2 linked regions of the Nothobranchius furzeri genome follow. The protein of the gene in region 2 purifies or fractionates together with the protein of the main gene of each other region. This does not show direct contact. Links are inferred from orthologs where the notes say so. Each region holds a gene or a part of one and is shown on either strand. Other genes may lie near its edges.

Region 1 (4,491 bases), on a different chromosome or scaffold from region 2:
AGGTTTTAGCCATGTCTCCTGAATGCATATTATTTCTGGTTTTATTTTGCATTTATTGATAAATCCCTTAAATTCCTGTCCATTTGCAATCAAACTTCTGGCATTCCATTGTAATATAATCATGCTGTCCTGTCACCAGGACCTCCCGCTTTCCCTTCCTCCCCAAGTATTTTATTGTTCCCATGAAAAAATGTCTTTAATGCCAAAAAATCTCTCTGCTCCTTTCAATTATTTTTATCTTCTCTGTTCGTTTCACTTGAGCAGTACAGTTTATGACATACGCCATAAACAAAATCATCTTCTCTGTCAATCCTGTGTGAGTTTCTTGTGTCTGCACAAAATCTGATGGCGACTCTGTATGAACTTTTCTAGCCTCATTCTTTCCATTCTGTGCCTTTTAGAGCCTCTGTGTAGCTGATGCCATGAACCACTTATATTTGTTCAACCTGCACTGCCTTCTAGAAAACACTAGAAGACTAGAAAACATCATAAAATGTGACTTAATGTTGCAGATTAAAAAAAAACACAGACTAGTTTAGTTATCCTGTGATCGTGTGCTGGAGAAATGTTAGATATTTGTTTAGGTTTTTACTGATCCTTTAAGAAAAGGAGAGAAGAAGGCCCCGACCACAGAAGTTTAATTTATGGTCTGGCTTGAGGGTGCTGCCATCTAGCGCCTAGATAGGTTTAATTTAGGAAAGTACATTGTTTGCATTATTGTAGTCACGATAATAAAACATTCACCCAAAATTTTAATATTATTAAAATATTATTATTAATAAATTAATATTATAGACATTTTAAAAACCTAGTAGCCATTTATATGTCACAATTAGAGTATTTTACTCACTTGTGAAAAGTTTTAATCACAGTATAATTTCTGATTATCTTGCAAAATATGAAAACGATTTTAATGTTCTTACCCCTTAGAGATTTAGATTTTTCCCAAGTCCCTGTTTTTCTCTTCCATTGGGTAACATGTAATGCAGTAATAGTAAGTCGGTTTGACCTCTCCAGAGGAAAGACGTAAACACTTCATTTCAAGAGGACAATAAGCTGCAGGCCTAATAATGCATTTTATCTGTACTTACAGATGTTGTTCAACAAAAAAATAAATTATTGTAGACTTCTGTGACACCCCCCCCCCCCCCCCCAACATTGTCATCATTCGATTTCTTTGAATCGTTTATAAAATTACATACACTCTAACAATGCCAATTTTTCTGAGACTTTGGACACATGATGGGTTGGCCGTCAGCAGAGAAATAGCCTAATATAAATTCCCAAGAATTTAAGAGGCTTCTTTTAAAGTTTGCGGGCCAGCACCTCTCAATAAATTACTCTTTATAAACAAATACATGCTATGTATGTTTGTGTTATTGAATTACTCCTTAATATCGTACAAATACATTTTCCTTTGTTATATTCGGGGTTTTATGTCTTTCGTGATAACTGGTTGGTGAGGTAACAACCTCTTTTTCTACACTGGGTAGGTAACAACCGGTAACAACAAGAAGACATTTTTGACCCTCGCCGTTTGCTGTATTCGCGCCTCCCTCCAACGCCTTTCTGCCACACGTGGATGTTGCGCGAGGCATAAACAACAACATGGCAAGCAACGGACTCTCTTATGACGGCTGTAATTTTTTCAGACAGCGGCTGGTTTTATCGACTCTCAGCGGGAAGCATGTGAAAATAAAAAACATCCGGTCTAAGGACGACAACCCGGGGCTTCGCGGTGAGTCGCAGCTTCGCTCCGCATGTGGCGTCGCAGTTAGCTAGATTGCTAACGGGCTAGCTGTTACGCAGTTGGGAGTGTGTTTAGAAGCTGGGAGTTAGATGTAGGAAAATTGCCATGTATGGGTGAAAATGCGAGGGCAAATACGAGATAAACATTTTGTCACATTGTTGTAACAGTTTATGTCGTTGTCAAGCTTAGAAACTGCGCAAATATGTTTGACCACCTCTTAATTGAGTTTGTTTTGTTTATAGTAACTTGAATCTTTAAAGATTGAAAATTCACCTCGAGTTTGAGCTGCGTGTTTAATAAAATAAGTTTTCTGAGTTACTTAGGGATAAAGTGTTTTTGTTGACTAGTTTTACTTTTTGTTTGATTTGTTTTGTCCAGATTTCGAGGCCAGCTTTGTCAGACTACTCGACAAAGTGACCAATGGTTCCAGAATAGAGATAAATCAAACAGGTGAGTGACAAAAACATATTTTAGATAATTGCAAATATTTCTTGTCAATATCATTCACAAAAATCGTCAATACTATTTTATATTTTACCTACATTTCATATGTGGTTAATTAGACTCCATCTAAAACTGGTTACTAGACTCAGGTTTAATCCAGGGAAACATCTAAAACATTCAGGCTGTTGGTTTACAGAGATAAAATCCGAGAAACACTTTGAATTATTATTATTTTTAGGTGTGTACAAATTGGTTGGTACAGTATTTATTTGTCTTGTTTATTTGGGTTCTATGAATAAATACATTTAGATTTGGAATTGGGTTTTATAAATAGTTTATTTTTTTCATTTGATTTACAACTAGATAATTTATATTTGAGTAAAATTAATCGGGATACGTATTTCTTGTTCTATCTTTACAGCTGTACTTAATTGTTTGCTGTTAAAATAAAACATGAATGAAACACAACCTTCAGATCTGCCGTTTTCTATTACCGGTATTCTGTTTTAAAACACTCTTAGATCTGGATACACCTTTTTTAATACTGCATTCATTGTATTTGTTATTGTTTAAGGAAAGTAGAAAGCTCATTTCTTGTCTAAATCACTTCCAGCTAGCGGATCAAATTTTCTGGTTCTTTGAGGAGAGGTAGACCAGTCACACACTAACTCTGTTCCTAATACACTCTCAAAAATGACCATCAGTCAGTAGGTTGGTTTAGCTTGGTTTAAATAAAACAAAAACTTAGACAATGGTAAAAATAACAAACACAGTTATTGTTTGTTGGATACAAATGACTCCCCATGGTCATCAGTCAAAAGGGCCCAGAATCTTCTCATACATTAGTTTGTGACCTGTATACTCGAGCAACATTTTCATTTAATTAATAAAGATGAGTATTATTGAAGTTTATAGGAACAGAAATCATTGTTTGATCAAAGCAGGCAGATTCAAATAACTGTAGTTTTTTTCAGATGCACAGTTCTGTTGTAGTATTAGATACATTTGTTAAAGGATGACTGTGGGGCGGTCACTAGGAGGCGCTACGTGGTTGATGATGTAATCAGCTAACTGTATAATTGATCTGATGCTTTGTTCTGGGATCAGTTGGAGTGAGTAAATCGTGTGGGAGAAACTTACCTCTGTCATCCTTGACTCTTCCATTGGTGACCTCAATGTGGACGATCATGACAATGACTGACGACACGACCCACCCAGTTCCAGCCCCGCCCACTGCTGCTGAAGCTACACCGGTTCTGGCGCTCTTGTCTGCAGTTGCTGTTAAGCTCCCGGACTTTTGGCTACATGATCCTGCGTCATGATTTTCCCACATTGAAGCACAGTTTGCTCTGCGTGGATTGTCAGACGACAACAACGGTGTTGTTGCTGCACTGGATCGGTCCACGCGTCGAGTCATGAGTCTGCTTCAGAACCTTCCAGCCCAGGGGAATTATGTCACCCTCAAGCAGCTGTTGCTAAGGCGCTACACACTTTCAGGAGGCAGAATGAACGGAGAAACTTCTTTCTCTCACCGGTTTGGGTGACAGCACCGCCCTGGATCTCATGGATCTCATGCTTTACCTCCTTGGTTCTGACGATGGAGAATTCCTCTTTGTCCACCTCTTCCTTTGTGAGCTCCCGCTTCAGGTGCACACGGCGCTTGCTAATTCCCCACCTGCTGCAACAAAGGGATTAACTCGCACTGGCCGAAGAAGCTGACCTCATCTTCCAGACCACGAGGACCTTGACAACCTAGGATGTGGTCCCGCCATGCGTGGAGACAATGCTCGATTCTTCACACAGGTCTGTCCAACTTCCCTCGGTGGCCAGCATTGCAGCTAAAGATTGCCAAGGAGCTGCTTTTTGTTTTTACCACCAGTGTTTTGGTGCCGAAGCGTGACGCTGCCTCCCCCTTTGCTCTTTCACATTCAGCATGTGAAGGGAGCTGGTCTCAAGCTTGCACACATCCTGGGAGATCAACCTCAGTTGGGGGCCCAGGCTCCTCTTAGAGGGCTTCCTCTCTCTGCCAACCTGGAAACCATCCAATCCCATTGGGTTCTTCTCATCCACACCAGAACAGAACTTACTGGGCGGGAACCACACCACCCAGCTTCAGCAACTAACCCAGGTCACCTGATCAAGACCCCTACAGGACTTTCTGGGTGTTCAATGGGGGCGTGTGTGGCGGGATACTAGGAGGCTCTACTCACACCCAGAGAAGCAGGATGCTATGTGGGTTGATGATGTAATCAGCTAACAGTATAAGTGTACTGATTTTAATTTTGTGATCAGTTTGG
Region 2 (4,578 bases):
TTTGATGGCAGTACCTTAACAGGAACTCTGGCTATGAGGACGTTTATGCCCTAATCAGCCACAAGTTTTCTGTTGTACCAAAATATGCTGTTAGAAACACACGAAATATAGCCGTTTATTTATAAATCTGTAATATTTAGTACATTTTTGACATACGTAGGACGCCGTGTTTTCCAAAAGCAATGCACTCTGGGGGGTGATGACGTATATTGGTTGTACTTGGAGGAATAGCTATTGACGCTATTGTTTGTTTACGTGCTCGCCGTATTAATAATTAAGTAAAATGCCGCATTGTGCTGCTTTTGGATGTAATTTCCAGTCAGAGGGCAACAAGGGGAGTGATGTGAGTTTACAGCTTTCCCACTGGCAACAAGAGGAGAAAGCAGTGGGAAGATGCCTGTGGACGGACACAACTTCCCAAAGATCCATGGCTGTGTTCCCAACATTTTCCTCCTGATGCGTTTGAGGCTTATAGACGACCACAACGACTTAAAGAGCTCACCAGAGCGGCTGGGTACAAGAGAAGGCTGAAACTAGACGCTTTAGCGACCATTTTCCCACACAAGGAGCCTGAACGCCCTCGGAGAGTCGAGAGACGCTGGACGCTTTGAGCCGACAACCCGCTCCTGCAGCTGCCGCTACTGTCACGTTCAGCGAACCATCGGACACGCCCAATCTCAATAATCACCCTTGCGAACTGCAATTGTGCGCTCCTGGCCAGGGGTGCGAAGGGTGTCCCAATTCTCAAGTGCGGAAATTGACCACGCCCCCATTGCACCCTTAATCTGCACTTCACCCAAGTCTGCAGCAATGCGGACCTCGGGTAAGGGTATTATCCACAAGTCATTGCTGCAGGAGGAACGGCTCAAGTTCCTTTTATGAAAATATGTATTTTCTAATGAAATTAGTTCATTTTAGGACTAAATAAGCATGAAGGTCTGAATATTTTTGACAAAGCAGCAATGAAGTAAAATTTATTTCAAATAATTACTTTATTTGTTTGAAATTTAATGAAGGTTTTTGAAAAAAGTTTCACAGCGACCAGCAGCCTGGCATGCGTTGCGATCGATGACGCAATGCTCCCTGTCTCAGTTCGGCAATAATTTGCACACTTGTGTGCTACACACTCGAACCCTACTGCACACTTTCTCCAAGTGCACTTTGCTGAAGACCGCAGGGCGCACGCAGTGCGAGTATTGTGGTTGGGCCCAACACAAAAGGAAGATACTGGGAGGAGAGCAGTCTTGTGACCACAGGGGAAAAGCTGTTGGATGTTGACAAAAACAAGCCCTGAAGTCATAGGAATGGGTGATAACAGCAGTGATGGGAGTAACGGCGTTTAATATAACGGCGTTACTAACGGCGTTCTTTTTTAGGTAACGGAATAATCTAATTAATTACTTTTCCCACTGTTGTAACGCCGTTACCGTTACTGGGGACGGAAGGTTGTGCGTTACTATGTGCTTGTCGAACGTTGAGCAGCAGCGTGAGGCTTTCTGACCGCCACACTTCAGCTGCAGCCAGGGAGAGAGAGGTGTCGGTAACGCACTTACAAAGTTCAATTAACCCATTTTTTTGCATTCTTTAATGGAAAAAGTAACAAAATAGTTATTTTTCTTGGTAATTAGTTACTTTTATAATCTCGTAACTCAGTAACTGAGTTGCTTTTTTGACAAAGTAATCAGTAACTATAACTAATTACTTTATTAAAGTAACGTTCCCAACACTGGATAACAGATGTTACCCTATATGCTGCTTGTAAGTGTTCCTTTTGCCTTTTACTGGATAGTGACATTGATGATAAAATATCGAAAAGTTAATTACTGTGCATTTATCGGAGGGGTAAGGCACCCTGGTTCTGGCAAGCTGCTGTCCAGCATGTTTAGAGGCTTCCAAGCAACAACACACTTGATTTTAATCAGCAGGTGTTTAGTGCGCACCTGTAGAGCCTAACGAGCTGCTGAACATGTGAATGAACTGTGTTGAAGTACTGAAACCTCTAAACGTGCTGGACGGCAGCTCTCCAGGGCCAGGGTTCCCTACCCCTGCAGCTTTTACTGGAGAACAAAAGAAGCGGAAGTTGAGCCTGTGTAGCGGAAACACAGAGAACAACAACAACAAACAACTGATTACGACTCAAAGGTTGTTGGTCAGCTGAGCCTGAGCCATTTTAATTCTCTCCGAGCCAAGCATGTTTAGGCATGTCCTCAACATTAACAATAAGGTGTTGTTGTGCCACAAAAATAGGCACAACTAGTCATACTCAAGACAGTCCAACAAGCTACAGAAAGTTGTGATTAATAAGGACGTGTGCTGAGAACGGCAGCATTATTTATCTAGAATCTATGGATGCGTGCGGCACGTTGGTGAAACAAAGAAGCTGGTAACCTTTATCATTAGGTGGTTTCTGGTGCCATCCCAGTCAGTCTGAGGACATTTCAGAAGGTTTTATAGCCTGCTCTCTCTGAATCACCAAACTGGGGCAGCAGTAGCTCAACAGGTTGTCCAGTATTCAGAAGGTTGCAGGTTCGATCCAGGCTCCGGACAGAGAATTCTGCTGTTGTGTCCTTGGGCAAGACACTTAACCCACGCTGCCTGCTGGTGGTGGTCGGAGGGACCGGTGTCGCCTGTGCTCGGCAGCCTCGCCTCTGTCAGTGTGCCCCAGGGCAGCTGTGGCTACATCGTAGCTCATCACCACCAGTGTGTGTGAACGGATGAATGATACACTGTAGTGTAAAGCGCTTTGGAGTCCTTACTCTGAGAGGCGCTACACAAGTGCGGCTCATTTATCGTTCATATTTTGGAATGACACGTGACAACATCGTAATGTACCTATAATTGATCTGGTTTCAAATTAAACCACAGGGATGTGTTTTACCTCTTCTCCTTTAAGTCAGCTGTTTTCCTCCGTTCCCGAGTGAGAACCGGGACCTTTTCTCCTCCAGTTTCCGAGCCTGTGCTGCGTGTTTAACTCGCCCGAAGCGGATTAAAGTCCAAATAAAACACAAAATCCGCTCAGTTCGTCTCCGCGGAAACTCACGCACCACCGGAAATGTCCAGTAAGAAATTAGCCTCAGTAAACGAGTAAATACGCGCTTTTGTTCTGCTTTAGTTTGAGTTTTGTTGATCTCACGTGTGCAACGAGAGCTCCGAACCGGAAGTGTGTCACCTTATAGAAATCCGAGTCGCGAAAATAACAGATAAATGGTTCCGCGCTGGATTGTAGGTAGTGATCATCGACATAAAAAGTTCCCAAAGCATCAGGTCTTCATCTGAACACAAAAAAATGTGAATTACTTTAACTGTATGAATGTATAGATAAAGAAATAATGTCAATTTCCGTTTAAAAAGAAATTAACTATCTGCGAGTTAAGATCGCAGACGAAAACAGAAGAAATGAATATGAAAGGAAAAAGTGATCAAATACAAAAAACTTTGAATCAGTGGCTTAGCAGAGATCTTTCCATTTTTGGGTGAAATGAATTGTGGGTATTTCCCAACTGATTTATCCACATCTATCTCTTTACATCGCCCCAAAAACTGTGAATAATATTAACTCTATTATATACAAATTTATTTGGAGAAATAAAACCCACTATATCAAAAGATCTCAGTTGGTTAAAGAATTTGATGATGGAGGCTTGAAATCAGTGGATTTTTAAGCAATGTTGGGAACATTTAAAATAAAGTGGCTGAAAGATTTTCTAATTAAGCCAGAGTCAATGTTCCAAAAAATGTCTTTAAGATGTTTGGTGGGTTAAACTTTCTTTTTAAATGTGACTTTGAAATCACTAATTTCCATTTAAATTATTTGAAATTTCATAAACACGTTTTGGATTTTTAGAAGATGCTATCATTTACCCATTATTCTACCCTGCATTGCACCACCTTGTGGAATAATCAAGTAATCGTTCCAAACAAAAAGTCTTCGTTCAACCAGCAGTGGTTTGACCAAGGAAGCGTCTTTGTACATGATACATGTTATGGATAAAAATGGTGAAATATTACAACTACAAGATTTTAAATACAAATTTAACAATCACCAATGTTTCCTTAAGGGTTATAAGAAAATATGTAAGTCAATACCAATAACAGATAAAAAAAAACCACAATTTGCTTCTCTAATGTCCAAACCAAACGTCCTCATTTAACAACAGGAGTATTAAAAATTACAAACAGAAAATGTGAAAATAAGTTTTTTAACTGACCCTTTAAATGATATATCTATCATGATGAAAGATTAAACTACAAATGTTAGGAAATCCAAGAATTGTAGAAAAACATTAAAAAAATGTTTTTAAATGGCCAATAGCACCCACAGTAAATGTTATCAAATCAAATCAAATCAACTTTATTTATAAAGCGCTTTCACATGCCCAAAACAGACAAAGCAAGCGCTGTACACCAATAAAAATCACAACAAGAAAACAGACATATAGCCATTTAAAATACAATAAGAAATGCCGAGTACAAGTTCGCAGTCCATATCAGACCTTTTTCCAAAATCAGATCCAGACACATTCAAAGTGCAGCTGCCCACGCAATCCTAACTTCAATGTCCAAACGCCAGCGAGAACA

What was found.
Region 1: the proteins of bms1 (region 2) and rcl1 purify together in Homo sapiens (co-immunoprecipitation; 4 studies listed by BioGRID and IntAct, with this or other methods). This does not show direct contact. The link is inferred for Nothobranchius furzeri from reciprocal best matches to the Homo sapiens genes BMS1 and RCL1.

The regions. Positions count from the first base shown.
Region 1 is NC_091746.1:49,083,860-49,088,350, reverse strand, and holds the start of rcl1 (RNA 3'-terminal phosphate cyclase-like protein), read left to right. Parts: upstream 1-1,539; 5' UTR 1,540-1,608; coding exon 1,609-1,738; intron 1,739-2,128; coding exon 2,129-2,200; intron 2,201-4,491. UniProt on the Homo sapiens protein: As part of the small subunit (SSU) processome, it plays a role in 40S-ribosomal-subunit biogenesis in the early pre-rRNA processing steps at sites A0, A1 and A2 that are required for proper maturation of the 18S RNA.
Region 2 is NC_091756.1:4,735,153-4,739,730, forward strand, and holds the start of bms1 (ribosome biogenesis protein BMS1 homolog), read right to left. Parts: upstream 3,102-4,578; 5' UTR 2,879-3,101; intron 1-2,878. UniProt on the Homo sapiens protein: GTPase required for the synthesis of 40S ribosomal subunits and for processing of pre-ribosomal RNA (pre-rRNA) at sites A0, A1, and A2.